Mus musculus: one gene and its partners. The protein of the gene in region 1 purifies or fractionates together with the protein of each later gene. This does not show direct contact. Links are inferred from orthologs where the notes say so. Each region holds a gene or a part of one and is shown in the gene's direction. Other genes may lie near its edges. The genes, in order: Ptp4a1, Cnnm1, Cnnm3 and Cnnm4.

Region 1 (5,208 bases):
GTGGTTTATAGAAACAAGATGGCCTGGCATTCTAGGCAGCCTCCCTACTGATGAGTCCTAGCGTCTTGTTTAAGTCTGATCGATTGGGATGGAACCCACCCTCCCTCCCACACACTTCACTCCAGAGGTTAGTGACAGTGCCAATTGCAGACTGAGAAGCTTTACCTAAAGCTATAACTGTGCTTACACTATTCTTAAATGTAAAGGAGCTGCTACAAAATACAAAAAGGCAGGCCCCCAAATTTAAACTTTAGAGACTAAAATGTAAAGGGGTAATTGCATTAAAAGTGTTTTTGTTTTGTTTTGTTTTGTTTGGAAGAAAAGCCATACTCCTTACTTTGAACCCAGTAGCTTAATAACATAAAATATGAAATCAGAACTAGTGGGCAGTTGAAATCACTGTCTGTGAATTCTGCAAGCGTCAGACCACATGGCGTCTAGAGTAGTGTCTATGAACAGCAGGCTAAGGCAGTATAGAAGACACAATTCGGGCCAGAATAAAAGTGTAAAGAGAGACGGACTAATTAATTAAATCCATGTGTCTAGATGTGTAAGTGGAATTCCTATGTAGCTGTGACTCTGAGTTCTTGATTGTTGAGAGCTTCACTTTAATGGGCTTGTGATTGCTCATTTTAGGCCTATTGATTTAAAATGCAGTAACCTTGAATTTTGTAATGCAAGTAAAAGTCAAATTAGCTTGTCTCTAATTTGAGCAGCTGTGTACTTAGTGGAAAAAGCATGACATATTCCTTTTGAATTAGAAAATAACTTTTTTTCCCTTTCTTGCTTTCCTTTTCTTCTAAACAGCAGTTCTGTGGTGTTCTCGGTCACACATTTATGGAGTTTCTGAAGGGCAGTGGAGATTACTGCCAGGCACAGCACGACCTCTATGCAGACAAGTGAACTGTAGAAATTCATTACTACTCCACCAAGAAACCCCCATAAGAGTGGATAACCTGGACACAGGCGTGTTGAATTGAAATCTGCAGAGCATTTGACAAGAGCTCAGACCTGGATGGGGTAAACCTCAGTGCACTTCCTTTGTATTGCCTCAGTATTACTGGATTGAAGACTCACTGCTTCTTGTTAGGAGGTTCATTTCATTGCCCGTTTCTCCCAATTCATACTCAAGCACTGAGAATTTCAAGTGGAGTATATTGAATATTGAAGTAGACTTCAGGTTGTTTTTTGGTTTTGTTTTGGTTTTTTTTTTTTTTTTTTCTGTTTTGGTTTTAAATCATTTCTGTATTCAATTTTTTAATTCTTTCATAACCCTATTGGGTGTTTTTTTAAACTAAATTAACATGGCTCGAATGAACCGCCCTGCTCCTGTGGAAGTCACATACAAGAACATGCGATTTCTTATTACACACAATCCAACCAATGCGACCTTAAACAAATTTATAGAGGTAAGATACAATTTTTAATGTCCTAATTGATGACAGTTAATAGTGGGTCTGCTTGAAAGTGTCTAGCTCTCGCTCCCAGAGAAGAAATATTGGAACGGTAGAAGTGTGCTACACTTGAGAACTATGTAGCCCTAAGTTTGCTTAGTTAAATTTACAAGGCACAGAGTTTTTCCTATTTCTTCTTAGCCTAGTGTTGTAATCTTCCATTAGTTGGTGTCTGATTTTATTTGTGCTTTAAGTCTAGTTTTTAGCTGCTAATTCTGCTATTTTCTGATGGCAGATAATGAGGCCTCCCAACTTGCTTGTACTAGGAATTGGAATTTAATGCCAAATAATTTAATTGAGCTTACATTTATAAAGTATAAAAATCTACATATGCTTAGATAGCAAATAGAGAAATATTTAAATGTTACATAATTTTTTAAATTTTGAATTACAATGTTTCTAATGTCAGCAGGGTTGAGTTATAATTACTTAATGTGTCCTTAGGCCTTAAGTTTTTATGATGGCTTTTTAAAACTGAAATCGTGACATAACTCTCAGACTTAGGTCTGAGGAGGCTCAGTCAGTAAAGCAGTTCACTGCTCATGTAGAGAACCCTGCTGCTTCTTCAGAATCCATATTTAGAAAACCTTGAGCGGTTGTAGGTGGGGCAGGGACACCTTGGGCTCCGTGGCTTGCTAGCCTCGCCTTCTGGTAAGGTGCCAGACAGTGAGAGAGCATGAGGTGAAGAGCACCTGAGGTTAACCTGGTGCCGCTCCACCTGCACCCAAGTGCTCACAGCATTTTGCTTTTAGTGTGTGTTTTACCAGAATTCCTCCATCCACACCCCCCAACATAACACGTAGCATTTAGTAGCCCTCTTTACTCTTAATAATGTGAAACAAGCATATTAAACAGGTTTTGCCATTTGTTTACCAGCATGATCAAAAGAGGTGCAGATGGCACAGCAAGAATACGGTTCCAGAAACCTCATTAATGTTTTTAATATATGCATTGTTTCCTAGGAACTTAAGAAGTATGGAGTTACCACAATAGTAAGAGTATGTGAAGCAACTTACGACACTACTCTTGTGGAGAAAGAAGGCATTCATGTTCTTGTAAGTACTTGTGTTTTCATGTCTTCGTTACATACACTACAGAAGTTTATTCAAATCAGACCTCATAGCTTTTAAGTCAAGGCAAAATCCTACAGTAGTAACATGTGATTACATTTTTTGTCTGCTCTCAGTGTGAGAGTCTTCCTGCATTGCCCAGTTAGCCAGGAAAGTGCTGTGAATTCCGCAGGCTGCCTCCTCTCCTGGATTTGGGGATAAAGGGATGCGCAGTGCCTTGACAATTTAAAACTCTGAAACTTTTCTTTTGAATCAGGACTGGCCTTTTGATGATGGTGCACCACCATCCAACCAGATTGTCGATGACTGGCTAAGTCTTGTGAAGATTAAGTTTCGTGAAGAACCTGGTTGCTGTATTGCTGTCCATTGTGTCGCAGGCCTTGGCAGGTAAGGAAATCCCCTAGTCTCCATCTAGATTGGTGGACCTCACCCTTCCTAATGCCGCAGCCCTGTAATACATATGTAATCATGTTCTGATGACCTCCAACCAAAGCATTATTTTGTTGCTACTGTTCTGAATCATAAAGATCAGATATGGAGTCCACAGGTTGAGAATTGCTATTCTAGGTAAAGGTCCACATTGAAAGTATTAATGCTTATGACTTTTCTTTGGGGTGACTCTGACCCTCCTGCATGCAGGACAGGACTCATAACAAACACTATGCTATACTCTTTCCCAGTTGTCTTATTTCAGATAACTCACTGAGTTGTCTCAGCTGGTCTTGAAGTCACTCCCACCAGGCCTTGAAATGTACCCCTAATGTCTGAGCTTTCCAAGTAGCCGAGATCCTAAGCCTTGTAGCATCAAAACTAAGTCTGTCGTTGAACTGATTGATTATACTTTTTTAAGATCTGGGGTAGATGAACAATTAATTTTTCAGGGTTTAATTAGTGATCAAACTTTTTACATTACCAGAGCTCCGGTGCTTGTTGCCCTAGCATTAATTGAAGGTGGAATGAAATATGAAGATGCAGTACAATTCATAAGACAGTAAGTAACGCCGCCGTCCTCTTTCATGCCTGCATAATCTTATTAAATATCTAAACTAAGTAAAATCCAAGCCATGTACCAATTAACTGTTGGTTTCCACCTATGTACTTTGTCTGCATATGTTGTGTGCCTGTGGTGGCCTTTAGAGGCCAGAAGAGGGCATTGAATACCATGGGAGTCAAGTTATGGGTGGCTGTGGGCCACCATGTTGGTGTTGGGAACTTAAACTAGGTCCTTTGGTTGAAGCAGCAAGTGCTCTTAACTATCCCCCCAATTGATATCTTTAAGAAAACTGTACTAAGGCGGGGGAAGGGGGCTTTTTTGTATTCGTGCAGATAATTGTTGGAATTTTTTTTTTCTGCTTTTTGACCAGTGTGGTTGTTAATCTACATTTTGCTGAGATACATATAGCTGGGGGGAGGAGGTTGTTTTGACCTAGACTCAATCATTTATAGGATAAAAGTTAAATCAAACCACTTAGCATAACATTTAGAAATCTCAAGTGTTCTAGGTGGGCCCTTTGGTCTTCATTTCCTTACTACCAGAAATAGCATCCTTCTAACTTCTGTCATGATCAAAAAGTCCTTTGTCTTTTTCCTTCCTTCCAGAAAGCGGCGTGGAGCTTTTAACAGCAAGCAACTTTTGTATCTGGAGAAGTACCGTCCGAAAATGCGGCTCCGCTTCAAGGATTCCAATGGTCATAGAAACAACTGTTGTATTCAATAAAACTGGGGTGCCTGATGCCATTGCCTTGGAAGTGGAACTTCAGATGGGACCTGATTTGTCATGCATATTACCCAATGTGTCGGCTTACTGAATAAGTCTACTGCAGCTCCACAGGAATACTGAAAAACCAGTCTTACCAGGCCACAAGTTTGACAGAATTGCAACCTCTATATTTGGGCTATGATCAACATGTTTGGACACTTAGCAAAAGATTTTTGCTGGTCAGCATTTAAAATGTGCTTATTATTTGTACCAATTGACCTTTCCTAAAATAAGGTATTGAGTTATGTCATTAAATGTACTCCTGTGCCAGAATATTATTAGTCTATAAGGAATTTAGAAGGATTAGGTGCCAAAATACCCAGCACAATACTTGTATATTTTTAGCATCATACAGAACCAAAATTGCAGGAACTGAGAACTCTAGACCATCCATGGTGTATTCCTTCAGTCATTTCAAACACTGCAGGGCTTCTCTCGTTATCTGCCTGCTCACTCTGTTTACATCTCCCACACTTATGCCAGAATACGTCAGGTTTGCTTAGCCATCCTTTATTTTTTTTATTTTTTTTTTTAACTAAGTCTTGCGCTGATTATTTAATATGTCTGTCTCATTTTGTTTTGTTTTGGGAAACCTCTGTTTGAAAATCAACTTTGTTACAGAAGCACATATCTTCAACAATGTCTCCAGACAAAAAGCCTTATAGTTAATTTAATGTTTGCACTCAGAAGTGCAACCTAACAGGGAGGGCCTGAAAAAGAAACGAGAGGAGGCTATTAAATATTTTTAGTAATATGTTGCCTTTGTCATGTGCAGAACATGTAGAGTATGCTCTTTAATTTAGTAAATATTTTTAAGACATAGAGATACATTGTTGTAGCTAACCAATTCTTAATCAAAATTTCTGAAATTTTTGTGTTTTCCATACCTATCAGAAGTTTTCCAGCTTGTTTGAATTATGGCTTT
Region 2 (4,381 bases), on another chromosome or scaffold:
GCTGGCTGCATGGGTGGAGTGTCTGCAGCTCTCCTGAGTCTCTGTCCACTTCCTTCCAGATCACACGACAACAGTACCAGAACGCACTCACGGCCTGCCACATGGACAGCTCACCCCAGTCCCCGGATATGGAAGCCTTCACTGATGGGGACTCCACCAAGGCCCCCACCACCCGGGGCACACCCCAGACTCCAAAGGACGACCCGGTCCTCACCCTCCTGAGCAACAGGACCAGCTTGCCATGTGAGTCAGTCTGGTGGATGAGTTGGGCTGTTCTGTGATTTAAAAAACCAAACCAGCTCTACATTTCTCCTCCACTTCTGCCTAGCAGGCATTTTGTGCCTCACAGAGCCCAAGGTCTCCTCCCAGGCACAGAGGTAACCTACTCACTGTCCTCCATAGGCAGCCGCTCGGATGGTCTGAGAAGCCCAGGCGAGGTTGTGTACCTGAGGATGGAGGAGATGGCCTTCCCCCAAGAAGAGATGCCCAACTTTGAGGAGCACAGGTCACAGCAAGTCTCGCTGTCCCCTGTCGCAGTTCCTACAACAGCAGGTCAGGGCTGGGTCCAGAGCAGAAAGGGAGATCATCACTCTGGCAAACAGGGCTTGGGGAAGCCCTGGGTCTCCAGCTCCTGTCTGTCTATCTTTGTCTGTCTGTCTCTCTCTCTGTCTCTCTCTCTCTGTCTCTCTCATACACACACAAACACACACACACACACAAAAGAGGGCAGGGTCAGCATTTACCAAGCACCTATCATGTATTGGGCCCATCCAATTCATCTTTCCAGGAAAACTTGGGCAATGATAGGAGCATTTTCTGCCTGGATTCAGACCCTAACCCTCCAGTTCAGGATTTTTTTGTTTTGTTTTTGTTTTTTTAAGATAAGGTATCTTGTAATCTGGGCTGGCCACAAGCTTACTTTGTACAGAGAACCACCTTGAGCTTCCAAGCCTCCTGCGCCCGCCTTCCCTGGGCAGGTTACAGGCATGGACCACCACAGTGTACCACCACAGTACACCACAGTACCACAGCCTAAGGTTCAGTTTCCTTAGTAGGTAAGTTTCCTTGAGTAAGTGAATAAGTATAGATGATGTAGTTATCTCACAAGGCAGTTTCAAGTGGCATAGCGTCTATATCGGGCACATCAGTGTATAGTATCCCGCTCCATAAATATTAGAACTACCCCACAATAAGAAGACTGACATCAGCCCTTAACCCCACTGGTAGGGCCTTCCCCTTCCTCTGGGCCACAGTGCAGGCCACAGTCTCGGGGGGTGTCAGGGAGTACCCCTGCATTCTCAGGTCACTTCACATGAGACACAGTGCACTTCTGTCTTGACAGCAGAGTTGCTCAAAACTCCCTGTGTCCCAATAGCAGTGAGACTCCCAAGTGTTTGACACTCTATATACCTACCTACCAGGCCAGAAGTTCCTCAACCCGGTATTTCAGGTCTGGCCTCTTCCACACCAAGTATACAAAGCAAAGAAGTGGAAAGACTCCTAAGGTAGTAAGATCAGAGAGGAAACGTGTGGAACCCGGAAGACTGGGGCATAGAATTCCCAGGATTTGGGAAATGGCTCACCCGCACACCCAAAGACCATGGTAGATGCGGCCTCCACGTCAGGGCTGCTGGTGCAGGTCAGTTTCCAACACACACCCTGCCTCCCTGGGTCAGAGCTCAGTTGGTGGGAGGCTTGAATCCTTTCTGGGCTCTAAGATTCTAAGACGACACAGGTGTGCACCCTGTTATGACAGTGCTCAATGTCTGGCACAGACACTAAGTAGGGACACTTAGGATCTTCCTCCCTCTCCTGCCAGAGGGTATCTGCAGAGGTGTCATTATTCTGACTTTTGAGTAGACTGTTGGGTTACAGGTCCTGTTGTCTGTTCCCTTTGTGGCAGTAAAATGTCACTTGCCAACTAATAAACAACACCTTTCAGGAGTCTGTCTACCTGTCTCTGTCTCTGTCTCTGTCTGTCTGTCTCTCTCTCTCTCTCACACTGTCACTCACAGAGAGGTCCCACCCTTTTACCCTGTCACTCACAGAGAGGTCCCACCCTTTTACCCTGTCACTCACAGAGAGGCCCCACCCTTTCACCTTGTCACTCACAGAGAGGCCCCACCCTTTCACCTTGTCACTCACAGAGAGTCCCACCCTTTTACCCTGTCACTCACAGAGAGGTCCCACCCTTTTACCCTGTCACTCACAGAGAGGTCCCACCCTTTTACCCTGTCTCTCACAGAGAGGTCCCACCCCTGGACCCTGTCTGTCACTCTCAGAAAGGCATCCCTCAGAACCTCCCTGATGACATTTAGGTTGGAGACCTGAGTCTGCTCTCCCTTCAGCTTCGGATCCTGAATGCTGTAATATCCACCTGGATCCAGAGGCCAGCCCCTGCAGCAGCGACTCTGAGGAAAACATGGGCAAGAAGCTGCTGAGAACCTTGAGTGAGTATCCCTCTCCCAGACCAAAGCTCCTCACCAAGTAGTTGGGAAAGCAAGTGAGGCCTGTCCTCCCGGGGGGAGGGGGTGGGGTGAGGCTTGCATACTCTTACCACAGCTCTGGAAATCCACAGCAGGGCCTGAGCCAGCGCCACACCTGTGATACTGCTCAAATCTGTCCCATCGCACTGGTGATCTCCTAGGACAGGAGTCTTACAGACATGTCTTAAAGTCAAATTCTGACTAGTCATGTGATTTTTTTATAGTAGGGACCTTTGGACCATAGGTCCGTTTGTCATATGTAGTCACAGTGGTAAGACTGAACGATTGTGACAGAGACCTTAGAGCCTGTAAAACCTATAATATTTACTGTATAGTCCTTTGGGAAAAAAACTGTGTCCAGGAGACTCCAAGAAAGGAAAGCAAAGGGCTGGACCATGTCTCTGTGGGTGAGGGTGCTTGCTGCCGGGCCTGAGGGCCTGAGTTCGAGCCCAGGACCCACGTGGTGAGAGGAGAGAATGACACCGTGGCACCCACACGACAACACACATCCATACACACATGTGCAAATGCGCACACATGAAATAAATATTCTTTAAGGAGGGGAAGGAGAGCATCCTCCTCCTGAGACAGAGGTCAACAGCTGAGAAAGCAGGATGAAAATGCTCCTGAAAACCCCCAAAGTCCGCCTTCGAGGGCATTATCCAATCAGCATCACCTGGCCCAGGGTAGGCGGGAGATGCCCTGAACCAGGGCCCTGGGGAAGTCCTGAACCCAGCTGTGGCCCATGGGACACGAAAGACTGGGAGACTAGTACTGTGTGGTGTCTGGCAGTCAGTTGAGCTGGGGCCTTCCAGGGAAAAGAGAGATGGCTTTTGGGGGACTACCTCAATCCCTTCTGTGCACCCTCTACTATACGCTAGTGCCAGGGGGACTGAGCCTTTTCAGAAATGCTCCTCTTTTGGGAAAGTGCTTCAAGGTGTAAAGGTGCAGACATCCGCACCATGGTTCCATTGCATGAGTTCCAAGGCAGGGCTATGTCTCCCCTCCTGCGTCTGTGAGGACAGAAGAGTCCTCAGGCTGCTGACAGTGCGTGAACGTCCCCCGTCCCCCCCCCCCATCCCCCCATGGATGCTGACAACCTGTTTTTCAGGTGGCCGGAAAAGAAAGAAGTCCGCAGACGGGGAGCGAGCCTCCGAGGAAAACTCCAATTTAACGCCCCTGATCACATGACCAGGTCTTCCCTCATTGGCTGAGTGTGAGACTCTGAGGCTTTGGGGGAAGACCCACCCTCCCGTCACTCGCCACCCCCAAGGCCTCCCATCAGTGACAGAACATTCGGCCCTTCACCCTTCACCCCTCAGTCAGTCTGGCACGTTTTATCAGTTGCCTCCAGTCTGACACAGAAGGAGACGCCTGTAATGGAAGACGCTAGAAATGGTTTTGTCTGTAGCATAGTCTAAGAACTGGCCAGGGCCGACGCAAAGCTGAGAATGCCATTCTGAGGCTCCCAATAATAATCTTTGTTCTTTGGTGTCCCTGGGCCACAGGAGACCCATGTCCTGGAATTCACCATTCTTTCTTCCAGGACAAAATAATGCTTTCTACCATAGTTCATGCTTAGCATTCGCTCAGACAGTGATGCGGGCAGAGAGGTGTACTGGAGTCTAGAGGAGCCGGTGTGAAAATCAGCTCCAGGGATGGACAGATGGACAAGGATTGTTCCCTGTTAGTGTGTGGATTCTCCCCACAGCCTGGGGAAGGGCAGTTCGGCTGCAGTGAAGAAAGAGAGAGGAAGCCCTGAGTCCCTGTATCTCCCAGAGACGTCAGTTTGGGCTTCCCGAGTCTATAAGCTTGCTTCAGAAGAGGAGGTTCAGGGGACACAGAGACCAAGTTGTGAGCCAGATACAGAACTTCAGGTTTTAAGTGAAAATAAA
Region 3 (5,874 bases), about 5.6 Mb from region 1:
ATGGGATAAAGTTGGAGCGGTCTGTTGTCCATCACAAGTGTGTTTGGTGCTGAACCCCTGCGACATACCAGCTGCTCTAGCTTTGTGGGGAAGAGATCATTGTCCCAGGCCTTCGCCCCTCCTGTCACTTCTCTCTGGGACCTTTCTTCCCAGACCTTATAAGGCTTGCCCCTCATATCAACCTCTGTTCAAATGTTCCCTCCTTGATTACCTACATCTCCGTTAGCATCATCTCCCCAATGTTTCCTCGTCCTCTCCTTATAACACTTCCAACCGGGTCTTAAAATGTTTCCTGGGATCCCAGCACTGGTTCTGAGCACCACGAGGGTGGAAGCTGTTGTCCCTGCCAGAGTTCCAGCCTTTGGGAAGTTACCTGTCCCGCACACACTCAGTGTAGGAAATGCTTGTCACACGAGCAAATGAAGAGCACATGGAGCTAAGATGCACAAGCTAGCCAGGGAGATCATACCTTGCCCCCATTTATGAGGTGTTTGCTTTGTTACATTTTTTTATTGTTATTTTAAAATTGATGTTTGGCCAGGCAGTAGTGGCACATGTCTTTAATCCCAGCACTTGGGAGGCAGAGGCAGGTGGATTTCTGAGTTCGAGGCCAGCCTGGTCTACAGAGTTCCAGGACAGCCAGGGCTACACAGAGAAACACTGTCTCAAAAAAAAAATTGATGTTTGTATGTGTATGTTTGCGTGTATGCACATATGCCATGTGGGACTGTTTCAGTTATGTCTACAGAATCCATTTTAGAAAAAAAATTCAAGAGGCTGGAGAGATGGACTCAGTGGTTAAGAGCACTTACCACTCTTGCAGAAGGCCTGGTTCCCAGAACCAACATGGTGGCTCACAAATGTCAACTCTAGTTCCAGGGGATGTAGTGCCCTCTTCTAGCCTCCTTCGGCACCTGCATACACAACACACATACATACACTTGGGCCCACACAGACACAAAACAAAACAAAACATATGTATAAGATGTGTACATGTCTTAGTACATTTAGGGAGAAAGTAGAGAGAAAAATGCAAAAAACAGGGATACCCATAGAGAAGCTAATCCCATAAAGACCACATACAATGAACGAAGAATGCTCCATCTGATCATGCAGGTGTCTTCCAAAATAAGGACAAAAAGAACCCTCTCAAACAGCTTTCTCAACCCGAGGAATCAGAATAAACTGTGGTTGTGAAGCTAGCATGTATGGAAATTCCTGACAGCTGCTATCTCCCTGCATGGCTGAATGACCCGAATGTCAGGTGCATGTCAGAAACCAAAGGCACACAGAATCAGTCTCTAAACATCGTTTTATTGTAAGCTTAATTACATGAAACAAGTGTGAAGATTCAAGGAAACAGATTTTTCTGGGTTTGAGTATTTACTATGGACCTTCCTATCAAGGCATCTTCCTCAAAAGCAGGTGTCTGTCTTGATATCCACAGAGCCCAACGCAAAGCTAAGAGACTTTAGCTTTAAAACAAACCAATAGAGCTGGGTGAGGTTAAGAATGTGTGCTGAGGACCAGAGTTCAGTTCCCAGCACAGCTTCCCATTAGCTTGGAACTCCAGCTCCAGGGGGAATTCGACGCCCTCTTGCGTCTGCCCAAAGCACTGCCCTCGCAAGCGCAAACCCACATACAAATACAAATGATAAGAAAATGTTTTAAACAAACGACTCCAGGTTTCCCTGTGCCCAGTCCCTGGTTCTTATTCAGCCCTTAGCCTTGCTGGCCAGAGGGTTAATGACCTTCCTTTGCTCGTCCACACGCGCCGGGAACTCCGAGGCCGTCCCAGACAGCCGCCCCGCGTCCTCCCTTGCCTGCGGAGCCCCACGCCCCTCCGGCTCGCCCCGCCCCGCGCCGCTTGTTTACTCCCCGGCGCAGCCTAGTTCTCCCCAGAGCCCGCCCCCGCCAGCCGCTTATTGGTCAAAGTGACGCGGAGGCCCGCGCCGATTGGCTGCAACAACAGAGGCGCGGGTGAGTGGGGTAGGCTGCGCCCGAGGCCCAGAAGGGGTAGCAGGCCATGGCGGCGGCTGCTGCGGCTGTGGTGGGTTGGTTGGGCTGGGTGCTTGCCGCGTTCTGTCTGGGCAGCACCGCAGGGGAGGCGGCGCCGGCGCCGGGCGCGGGACTGCTGAACTTCTGCACGGAAGAGGACAGCGCACCGGGCGCGGGCTCCCTGCGCGGAAGGGCAGCGCCAGAGGCCACTTTGTGCTTGCGACTCTTCTGCTCCGGCTTGGCCAACAGCTCCTGGACCTGGGTAGCCGCCGAGGGCGCAGGCTGCCCGGAGGGCGGACGGGCCACGGAGCCCGAGGAGGCGGCCGCCCCGACGGGCGAGTGGCGCGCGCTGCTGCGCCTGCGCGCCGAGGCCGGCCACCCGCGCTCCGCGCTGCTGGCGGTGCGCGTGGAGCCGGGTGGTGGGGCCGCGGAGGAGGCGGCGCCGCCCTGGGCGCTGGGGCTGGGGGCGGCCGGGCTGCTGGCCCTGGCGGCGGTGGCGCGCGGCCTGCAGCTGAGCGCGCTGGCGCTGGCGCCGGCCGAGGTGCAGGTGCTGCGCGAGAGCGGCTCGGAGGCGGAGCGCGCGGCGGCGCGGCGCCTGGAACCCGCGCGGCGCTGGGCCGGCTGCGCCCTGGGCGCGCTGCTGCTTCTGGCCAGCCTGGCGCAGGCGGCACTGGCCGTGCTGCTGTACGGGGCGGCGGGCCAGCGCGCCGTGCCCGCCGTGCTGGGTTGCGCGGGGCTGGTGTTCCTGGTGGGTGAGGTGCTGCCGGCCGCCGTGAGCGGACGCTGGGCGCTGGCGCTGGCGCCGCGCGCGTTGGGCCTCAGCCGCCTGGCGGTGCTGCTCACCTTGCCCGTGGCGCTGCCGGTCGGGCAGCTGCTGGAGCTGGCAGCGCGGCCGGGGCGTCTGCGGGAGCGCGTGCTGGAGCTGGCGCGCGGCGGCGGCGACCCCTACAGCGACCTCAGCAAGGGAGTGCTGCGCTCCCGGACCGTGGAGGACGTGCTCACGCCGCTCGAAGACTGCTTTATGCTGGACTCCGGCACTGTCCTAGACTTCAGCGTCCTCGCCAGCATCATGCAGAGCGGCCACACGCGCATCCCAGTGTACGAGGAGGAGCGCTCCAACATCGTGGACATGCTCTACCTCAAAGACTTGGCTATCGTTGAGCCCGAGGACTGCACACCGCTCAGCACCATCACCCGCTTCTACAACCATCCACTCCACTTTGTCTTCAACGATACCAAACTGGACGCTGTCCTGGAGGAGTTCAAGCGAGGTAAGGGGACGCCCCTGTTAGAAAGGCCCCAGAAAGTGATGGCCTTGTACCTGCGAATGACCTTTGGAAATATTTAAAGACCCACCTTTTAGAAGCGGAAGGAAGTGCTATGGGAGTCTGATGCGGGAGGATCGGAAGGTGGTTACCCTGTTTGTTAAATAGAAAATTTTAAAAAAGTTGGGGATGTAGCTCAGTGCTTGCCTAACATACATGAAGCCCTGACCATTACCCAGTACCACATAAACCCAAGCAGTGGCCTACCTACTTAGAAGGATGGAAGCCGGCCTGGACTAAAGATTCTGTCTCAAAAGTAAATGAATGAATAAAAAGATCCATTGGCAGGCAGCAAGCATGCCTACTTGGCTCTAATCCCAGAGGTTTCCTTCTCCTGGGCTGTATTGTGCACTTGGGCTTCCTAGTTGCCCCAGATTCTTGGATAGTAACTAAAATGATGTCAAGAGGGTTAGGTAACTGGAAACTGTTGTCTTTGCCTTTTTAGCATTAAATTAGCTGGACCTGTAATGGTTCCTGGCCCTTTCAGATTGTGGGATTAGAAAGGACTCATAATACTTACTGTGGGTACTGAGAGAACTTCCATTTTAATGTCATCGGAAGCAACTCATGAATAATGACTTAATTTTCCTTCCTGGCTTTTTTCTCCCTCTTAATTTTTTTTTTTTTTGAGATTTTTATTGTTATGTTTATGAGTGCCTGTGTTGTTCCTCATGCATGCAGTGCCTATGGAAGCCAGAAGAAGGCGCTAGGTTCCTTGAGACTGGAATTACAGCCAGCCACCCTGCTGGTCCTGGGAACTGAACCCTGCATCCTCTGGTGCTCTTGCTTCCTCTCTTTCATTTAAATTGTTTTTCAGTGCATGTCAGCTACCTGCTCTTCCCTAACCCCATCTCCATTCTCCCCTTTTTTACCTTAATGTCTCCTTTCATTCTTTTTGAGCAACCCCTATTTTTTTGTTTTGTTTGTTTGTTTTGTTTTGTTTGTTTGTTTGAAACAGTGTTTCTCTGTGTAGCCCTGGCTGTCCAGGACCTCACTCTGTAGACCAGGCTGGCCTCAAACTCAGAAATCTGCCTGCCTCTGCCTCCCGAGTGCTGGGATTAAAGGCGGCGCCACCACGGCCTGGCGATCAGCCCTTTTTTGTTTTTTAAGATGTACTTATTTTCTGTGTGTGAGTGTTTTGCCTGCATGTGTTTATGTACACGGTGTGTGTGTCTGGTGCCTGAGACAGTCAGAAGAGGGCTTCGGATCCCCCAGAACTGGAGTTACAAATGGTTGTGAGGCACCGTATGGGTGCTGGCAACAAAACCCAGGTCTTCTGCAAGAGCAAATACATGTGAACATCTAAAGTTGAAAGTAAAAACTATGAGCCGCTCCACATATTTAAATGTGGACCCCTAGGGGACAGGTGGCACATACATTCAGTCCCAGCACTTAGGAAAGCAGAAGCAGGCGGATGTCTGAGTGCACGAACACCCAGGGCTACACAGTCTTGAAACAAAAACAAGGTATAGGCTCCTCTATAACACTCCATGCTCCTCCTTGGGCTGCTTTGCAGAGCATGGGTGCTCCTGCGCACCAGACGTGCTTCCTTGGAGTGGAGGGTGGATGTGCACCAGGGCTCTGGCTGGATTGGGCTGCATGATAGGGTGTAGCAAATGGAGCAAGCCCCCCTGAAGTGGGTCTCAGGCCCCAGGGCCTGTCAGTGATTTCTTGGACAGCCACTGCAAGAGGCAGCTCTCTGATGTGATGAGCTCGCTGCTCTTGTATTGAACTCAGCGTGTGCCAGGCTCTTGACGGGCACCCTGCATTCCCAGTCTCCCTTGTCTGTGCAGGAGACCTGTATATAGATCATGAATAAGTGAACAGGAGGCTTAAGTGGGCAGCTCTGATTGTGTCTGGCCTCTCAGGTGTGTCCTGGCTTTATCCTAGATCTTGGTCTTGCAGACTCTTTCTAGGGAGTGAGTAGGTAGTATAGTGTCTGGGCTGTTGTCACTTCTCACAGAGTGGGAGCCAGCCCTGCCTACTTCGAGTTCCCAGGTCCTAGGAAGACTGCCACGGCTCTCTCGCTCTGTTAGTTTATCAAAGAAGAGAGAGAGAGACTGAGATCTGGTGTGCTTGTCAGTCTAGTGACTCCTTCCTGGGAGATGGTATTTGTTAGCGCCCAGCAAATTAGCCTTTTAAGGGTGACCCTGGACAGATAGGGTCCATCTCTTCCAGAATCATCATAAGCCTTCTGTTAGGAGAGGAGTATAAGGACCATCGCTGTCCCTTTGATGCTCCAAAGTCTCTTTAGGTTTCTCAGTCTCATGAAGGACAATGGTGTACGCTTTGCCAGAGCAAGTTCTGGTTGACCTGTATCAATAGGAAAGACATGTCCCAGCTGAGGACAGAGGCAGGAGGAGTGTGAGTTTGAAGCCAGGTGGGATCGGGGAGGGGGGTGAGCAGGGGAGGTATTCATCATAGTGTCCCATTCCTCTGCAGCTCAGGTTAGGGCGGTGGAAGGGCGAGGGGCATCCCTGTCTGGAGAGAGCTGAATTTAAGCTTTGGGTGTTAGTATTGGTGTGAAGGACAACACAGATGAGAGCTGTTT
Region 4 (6,032 bases), about 5.5 Mb from region 1:
CTTGACTTTAACAGACCCCGTTTCTGTTCCTATCTAGCAACCATTGTTCTGTCTTGCTTTTCTCTCCCTGCTCCTTCCCTTCGACTTCCAAGCCAAGTGGCTCAAACACTTATTTTTCTTTCCTTTGTTGGCTTCTGTCGCTTAGATTGAGTGCCTACCTATAGAGCACGAGTAAATACAGACCCGAAAAGGGCAAAATGAAAATAGCCTCTGGAATGATGATGAGGCCTGATAGGCGCTTCCAGGGACCTGGGGTTGCTGTCAAACAATCCGGGCGGCTCTTCTGGGTTGTCAAAGACAGGGAGGGGGCAATTGCCCAACTCCTGAGGGTACTGTTCACTAAAAAGCTGGTCTTCTGGCCTCACTCTGTGTGTGTGTGTGTGTGTGTGTGTGTGTGTGTGTGTGTGTGTGTAAGGTGAGGCACCTCCTCACAAGGAACTTCCTCCAGCTGGCTGTTTACAGAACCCACCAGCACAATGCCAGAGCATTAAGTCAGCCTCTGCTACCCAGCCTCCCCCACAACACTGCATGAGTGTTCCATTATGTTTGGATTTTTGCTGCTGGTATTGATTGTTGCCTTAATTGGCAGGCTGTGTACCAAAGTAAAAATAAACACAGGGGTTTGTACAGAGACATAGAGAAGGACTGTGTCTCTAGGGCCAGGAGAAGCCCTGCTGGGAGACCCAGGGGTCAACCCAGGCCTTGTGCTTAGTATAGCTCTTGCAACTGAGGTAAGGATGTTTGTCATCCGTGTCCTGCCCTTCACAGGGTGGACAGCTGTGGGTGGATAGCTGTGGTCATCCCCACACACTGAGTTCATAGCTGCCGGATGACATCCAAGTGGGGCTGACCAGGAAGCAGTGATCTCAAGGCTAGAACAGCAGCCCCACCCCTCAGTTCATTTCCACAAGCAGCTGCCTCAGCTGGCCAGTCACCACAATTTGGGGTTAAGGGTATGGTCCTGAAAGAGCAGGCAGCAACAACTATTACTACACAGGCAAAGACTATTCACAGAGAGTTGTTATGTCATATTCGGTGTGTAAGCCAGTTGTTCTCACGTGCTTAGCCAGGTGATGCTGTGTTATCACTCTTCCTGCCGTCAAATTAAAAACTAAAACCATAACTAAACAATAAAATCAATCCAGGCATGGTGGTGCATATCTGTAAACCCTGCACTTGGGAGGTAATGGACATAGGATCGGGAGTTCAAGGTCAGCCTCAGATTTGAAGAGTTCAAAGCCATATCGGGCTATGTAAGACCTTGTCTCAAAAAAAAAAAAAAAAAAAAACAAACAAAAAACAAAAAACAAAAACAAAACAAAAAAAAAAAAACCAGTCATTCTTACCGCCATTTACAGACAGGGACTAGGATTAACGGTGAAGATCTGAAAGGCCTAGGATTTTGTGCCTAGGTTCAAAATTTGCATCTGTAAGAAGTAAAACACTTAGTGTTCCTGTGTGTGTTTACTTGCTTATTGCGCTCCCCCTCCTGCCCCCGTATGGCTTGTCTTGTTTACTGCCATTTTTCTGATGATAGGCTGTAAACTAAAGATGTGCAAGAATTTTGGCTTGTTCATTGCCGTATCGTTAGAGTATGAAACAAGAGTACATGTTCAATGAAAACTCATCCCTAAATAGAAATGACAGGTGAAAAACCTAGGTCAGAGCCTGGTCCCTCAGCACCTTAGGGGTCTAGACAGAACCGAGGAGTGGGCTGGGGGACTTCGGGGGCAGTGACAACCTATTTCTGGCATTGGGTCAAGGTCAACGAAAATCCCAGAAGTAAGGAGGCTGTAACGCCAGCCTGAACCCTCAGGTTCCCTTTTCTTTTTCTAAACCAGGAAATGCATTTTTCTCGCTGTGCCCGCGGAGAAGCACCACCCGCCCCAGAACGGAGCGACAGAGTGCAGGGGACCCGGAAGCAACCGAGCGCGTGGGGCTTGGGAGCCGGGCTCCCTAAGGAGGAGCGCGGGAGAAGCCCGGTGCCGCGCGGAAGCTTGGCTGGGCGCACCCCCGCTGCGGGCTCCCGCGCTCGCCCCGCGCCGTTCTACCTTAAGGGCGCAGACCTCCTTAAGCCGGGCGCGCGAGCCGTGGGTAGGGGCGGGACATCGCATGCAAATAAGGGGCGTGGGGCGGCGGGGCGGGGCGGGCGGGGCGCGGTCTGACGTCAGGTCCTCGGCTGGGGCAGTTGGCGCGGCGGCAGCGGAGCGGCAGGAGGGCAGGAGCGGAGGCGCCGAGTGAGGCGCGCGGCGGGGCGCGGGCAGCGGCGGGGCCGGAGCAACATGGCGCCGGGGGGCGGGGGCGGGCGGCGGGACGGCTGGCCGGCCCGAGGGCGCCTCCTCCTGGCTGCGCTGCTGCTGCTATGGACGCGGGCGGCCAGCGGCCAGAGCAGCCCCCAGCAGAGCGTGATCCTAGGCATGAGGCTAGCGAGCTGCAACAAGTCGTGCGGGATGAACCCGGATGGCATCATCTTCGTGTCCGAGGGCAGCACGGTGAACTTGAGGCTCTATGGCCACAGCCTGGGCGATATCTCCAGCAACCTGATCTCCTTCACCGAGGTGGACGACGCCGAGGCGGTCCACAACTCCACCAACTGCCTGGAGCTCACCAAGGACTTAGTGGTCCAGCGGCTGGTCAACGTGAGCCGCGGGAACACGTCGGGGATGCTAGTGGTGATTACCAAGTTCCTGCGGAGGAGCGAGAACATGAAGCTGTACGCGCTGTGCACCCGGCCCCGGGCCGACGGGCCCTGGACCAGATGGACGGACAAGGACTCCCTGCTCTTCATGGTGGAGGAGCATGGGAGGTTTCTGCCGCTCTGGCTGCACATCCTTCTCGTTATGGTGCTGTTGGTGCTGTCGGGCATCTTTTCTGGCCTCAACCTGGGGCTTATGGCCCTGGACCCGATGGAGCTGCGCATCGTGCAGAACTGTGGAACTGAGAAGGAGAGAAAGTATGCTCGCAAGATAGAGCCCATCAGGCGCAAGGGCAACTACCTGCTCTGCTCGCTGCTCCTGGGGAACGTGCTAGTCAACACCTCCCTCACCATCCTTCTAGACAACCTCATCGGGTCTGGCATCATGGCAGTGGCCTCCTCTACCATTGGCATTGTCATCTTTGGGGAGATCTTACCTCAAGCCCTGTGCTCCCGGCACGGGCTGGCTGTGGGTGCCAACACTATTGTTCTCACCAAAGTCTTTATGCTCCTCACTTTTCCCTTGAGTTTCCCCATTAGCAAACTCCTGGACTTCGTCTTAGGTCAGGAGATTCGCACTGTTTACAATCGGGAGAAGCTGATGGAGATGTTGAAGGTGACAGAGCCCTATAATGACTTGGTGAAGGAGGAGTTAAATATGATCCAGGGTGCCCTGGAACTAAGGACCAAAACTGTGGAGGATATCATGACCCAGCTACACGACTGCTTCATGATCCGCAGTGATGCCATTCTGGACTTCAACACCATGTCGGAGATTATGGAGAGTGGCTACACTCGCATTCCTGTGTTTGAAGATGAGCAATCCAATATTGTAGATATCCTGTATGTCAAAGACTTGGCTTTTGTTGACCCGGATGACTGCACCCCGCTCAAGACCATCACTCGCTTCTACAACCACCCGGTACATTTTGTTTTTCATGACACCAAGCTGGATGCCATGCTAGAGGAATTTAAGAAGGGTAAGGACTGGTGTAGCTCCTGGTTAAATGTCCTTTTGATACCTCTCGTTCCCCTGAAGCATCCCCTGCATGCTCTCTGTCTGCAGGTTTTACTCTTCTGTTTGTGCGATTTATTCTGGGTCCCCCTGTCCATGGCTTCCTATGCTTCTGGTGTGAACGTTATCAGGCGCAGCAGAAGCGGTTCTCAAGCCTTTGCCTTCTGCCAGGCACTGTGTTCTGTGCTTAGTTGAATCAAAGCTGAAGGAGATACACTTGTCTGGAGCTGGTGAAGGGAGACAGGGTAAGGCTCATTCATGCCTGAAATGAGGCAGCCACCAGGCCTCCTGGGTGGGTGGGGAAGTAGCCAGGGAGCTGAGGATGTTGTCACAGGGGAAGGCACATTTGAGGGGAATCTTAAAAGATGAAGTGACTTGGGCCTGGGTCACACCCCTCTTGTGAGGAAGCCAAGGATTCGCTTGTGGTTCAGCAGGTGGTTCTGTCTAGTGGACCTTCTGGCTCTGCTGGTCCATGGCCATCAGGGGACGGGTTGGAGTTTTGCACACTTTTCCCCCCCGAGTTTGTTCCAGGTTTGGAACTGTGTGTCCTCACCAGGGTAGAACCGTCAGTCACCCTCCAGCCCACAAGCAAAACTGGGAGGTCTCTCCTCGGCTCCCAACTCAGAACAGTGCCAACGTGCAGTTCCCGCTGCTTAGCAGAAGCGTGGAGAGCAAGCTTTGGTTATTGTTCCATCTTTCCCAAGAGCCAAACATAAACCTGCCCCCAACTCCCAGTCTTCAGGGGCCCTTGCTCTGTGTGTGCTCTCTCGTGTGTGCTTGGCTAGCTCCCAGGTAGGTAGGCACTTAAGAGGGTTTACTCCCCAGCCTCCAAGCTCAGACAGGGCACACACCCTTTGCCTTATTCCCAACAAAGACTTCTTCCCTCTTCTACTCTGAAACCCTCAAAAGTAGCTGTGAAACAAGGTTATCAAGTGAAACCCTCCTAGGCTGAAGGAGGTGAGGAGGAAGAAAGGGCGACTCTTTAGAGAAGACCCCGAAGCTCGTTCTGTAGGGACCTTGCTTCATAATCCTAGACCCAACCATCCTCCTGTATGTAGAGCTGTCTCTGGCAAAGGCTCAAGCTGGGAACCACTAGTTGTGGATAAGTCCGGGGTCATTTCTGAAACTGGAAGGTGGTGGACAGTCTTGAAATGGGATCAGGAGAGAAGAGATGGCCTTACCAGAAGGTGCACTTGGGTCTGGGTCAAGGCCAAGGAGGCAGGTTGGTGCTCTCCCTTTGAAGTTTTCTACACAGATCTCAGCATCAGAGCAGCTGAGGGCATCTTGAGGACTGTAAACCAGGACAGAGATAGTCTGGGTGGCATGGAAGGAGATTTAGTGGTATAGACCCAGGAACCTGTTTTGCTCGGAGTCTGAGTAGAAACATTGGGGACTGTGTTTCGACTCCCATCTTGCAACTGGGGAACCTGAAAATTTCTCTGCAGTGGCTTCATTTGGAACCTGGTGAGGACTCCCATGACAGCTTCTTTCTTACCTGCCTCTGTGGTCTGAGGTGGTTTTCTGGTGACAGATATACCCACCAGTACCTCCCCATCAGTTTGGTTAGATCTGGATCCAACTAGTATGAATTGGCTTAACTTGGTGTCCAGCTCTTGATCAGCAGGGATGACCTCTGTTCTGTGGGAGAGTGCAGGGTCTGGGTTTTGGACTCTACTCTGTCCTGTGAAGAAGTGTCCTTCACTGAGCTGGAAAAGCAGAGCTGGCATCTCTTAGGCCAGAGTTGTTCTGGGCTGAGCCCTACCCCCACAGTTTGGTCCACCAGACTTTCCTTGACAGAGGCTTGTGGCCCGAGTCCAGGCCTTAGAGTGTGGAGCCCAAGCAGTTCACGGAAAAGCAGGAGCAGTCTGTCCTGGGGGTCAGGGAGATGAGAGTGTGACACGGTGGTCACTCCTTATGGACAGACCCTGGGCCATGTGTGGTGCCTTCCTGATCTGGAGGATTTAGGAGACCAGTTTTAATTTAGTAAATTATCACAGAGGTGTCTTGCTATTGCCCGTGCCTCCCTCCCGCTGAGTGGGCTCTCCTGGGTCTTTCCATCTGGGGTCTACCCCTAGTCTGACGCTGCCCAGGCTGTGACGCATGCCTAGTGTGCATCTTACAGCTTCTAAGATTTTCTTTCCAAAGTTAGTGTCTGGAAGGCTCTTCTGTTTTTGTTATTAACAAGGAACAAGTGCAGCTCACCAGCGTTATGCCAGACAGGGTGGCATGTTTCAGGGTCTTTGCTGGATCTTTCACCCCCAAACTGTATGATGGCTCTGGACCTCACTCTGCCGGAAGCCTGACTGGCTGAAGCCTTTCTGT

The links.
Region 2: the proteins of Ptp4a1 (region 1) and Cnnm1 purify together in Homo sapiens (affinity purification with mass spectrometry; 4 studies listed by BioGRID and IntAct, with this or other methods). This does not show direct contact. The link is inferred for Mus musculus from reciprocal best matches to the Homo sapiens genes PTP4A1 and CNNM1.
Region 3: the proteins of Ptp4a1 (region 1) and Cnnm3 purify together in Homo sapiens (affinity purification with mass spectrometry; 6 studies listed by BioGRID and IntAct, with this or other methods). This does not show direct contact. The link is inferred for Mus musculus from reciprocal best matches to the Homo sapiens genes PTP4A1 and CNNM3.
Region 4: the proteins of Ptp4a1 (region 1) and Cnnm4 purify together in Homo sapiens (affinity purification with mass spectrometry; 6 studies listed by BioGRID and IntAct, with this or other methods). This does not show direct contact. The link is inferred for Mus musculus from reciprocal best matches to the Homo sapiens genes PTP4A1 and CNNM4.

What each region holds. Positions count from the first base shown.
Region 1 is NC_000067.6:30,942,239-30,947,446, reverse strand, and holds part of Ptp4a1 (protein tyrosine phosphatase type IVA 1), read left to right. Parts: intron 1-807; 5' UTR 808-1,304; coding exon 1,305-1,409; intron 1,410-2,416; coding exon 2,417-2,509; intron 2,510-2,780; coding exon 2,781-2,911; intron 2,912-3,440; coding exon 3,441-3,515; intron 3,516-4,123; coding exon 4,124-4,241; 3' UTR 4,242-5,208. UniProt on the Homo sapiens protein: Protein tyrosine phosphatase which stimulates progression from G1 into S phase during mitosis. May play a role in the development and maintenance of differentiating epithelial tissues.
Region 2 is NC_000085.6:43,491,362-43,495,742, forward strand, and holds part of Cnnm1 (metal transporter CNNM1), read left to right. Parts: intron 1-59; coding exon 60-243; intron 244-402; coding exon 403-552; intron 553-2,318; coding exon of another isoform or gene 2,319-2,348; coding exon 2,349-2,450; intron 2,451-3,597; coding exon 3,598-3,677; 3' UTR 3,678-4,381. UniProt on the Homo sapiens protein: Probable metal transporter.
Region 3 is NC_000067.6:36,509,885-36,515,758, forward strand, and holds the start of Cnnm3 (metal transporter CNNM3 isoform 1 precursor), read left to right. Parts: upstream 1-1,982; 5' UTR 1,983-2,026; coding exon 2,027-3,269; intron 3,270-5,874. UniProt on the Homo sapiens protein: Probable metal transporter.
Region 4 is NC_000067.6:36,469,411-36,475,442, forward strand, and holds the start of Cnnm4 (metal transporter CNNM4 precursor), read left to right. Parts: upstream 1-2,186; 5' UTR 2,187-2,282; coding exon 2,283-3,675; intron 3,676-6,032. UniProt on the Homo sapiens protein: Probable metal transporter. The interaction with the metal ion chaperone COX11 suggests that it may play a role in sensory neuron functions. May play a role in biomineralization and retinal function.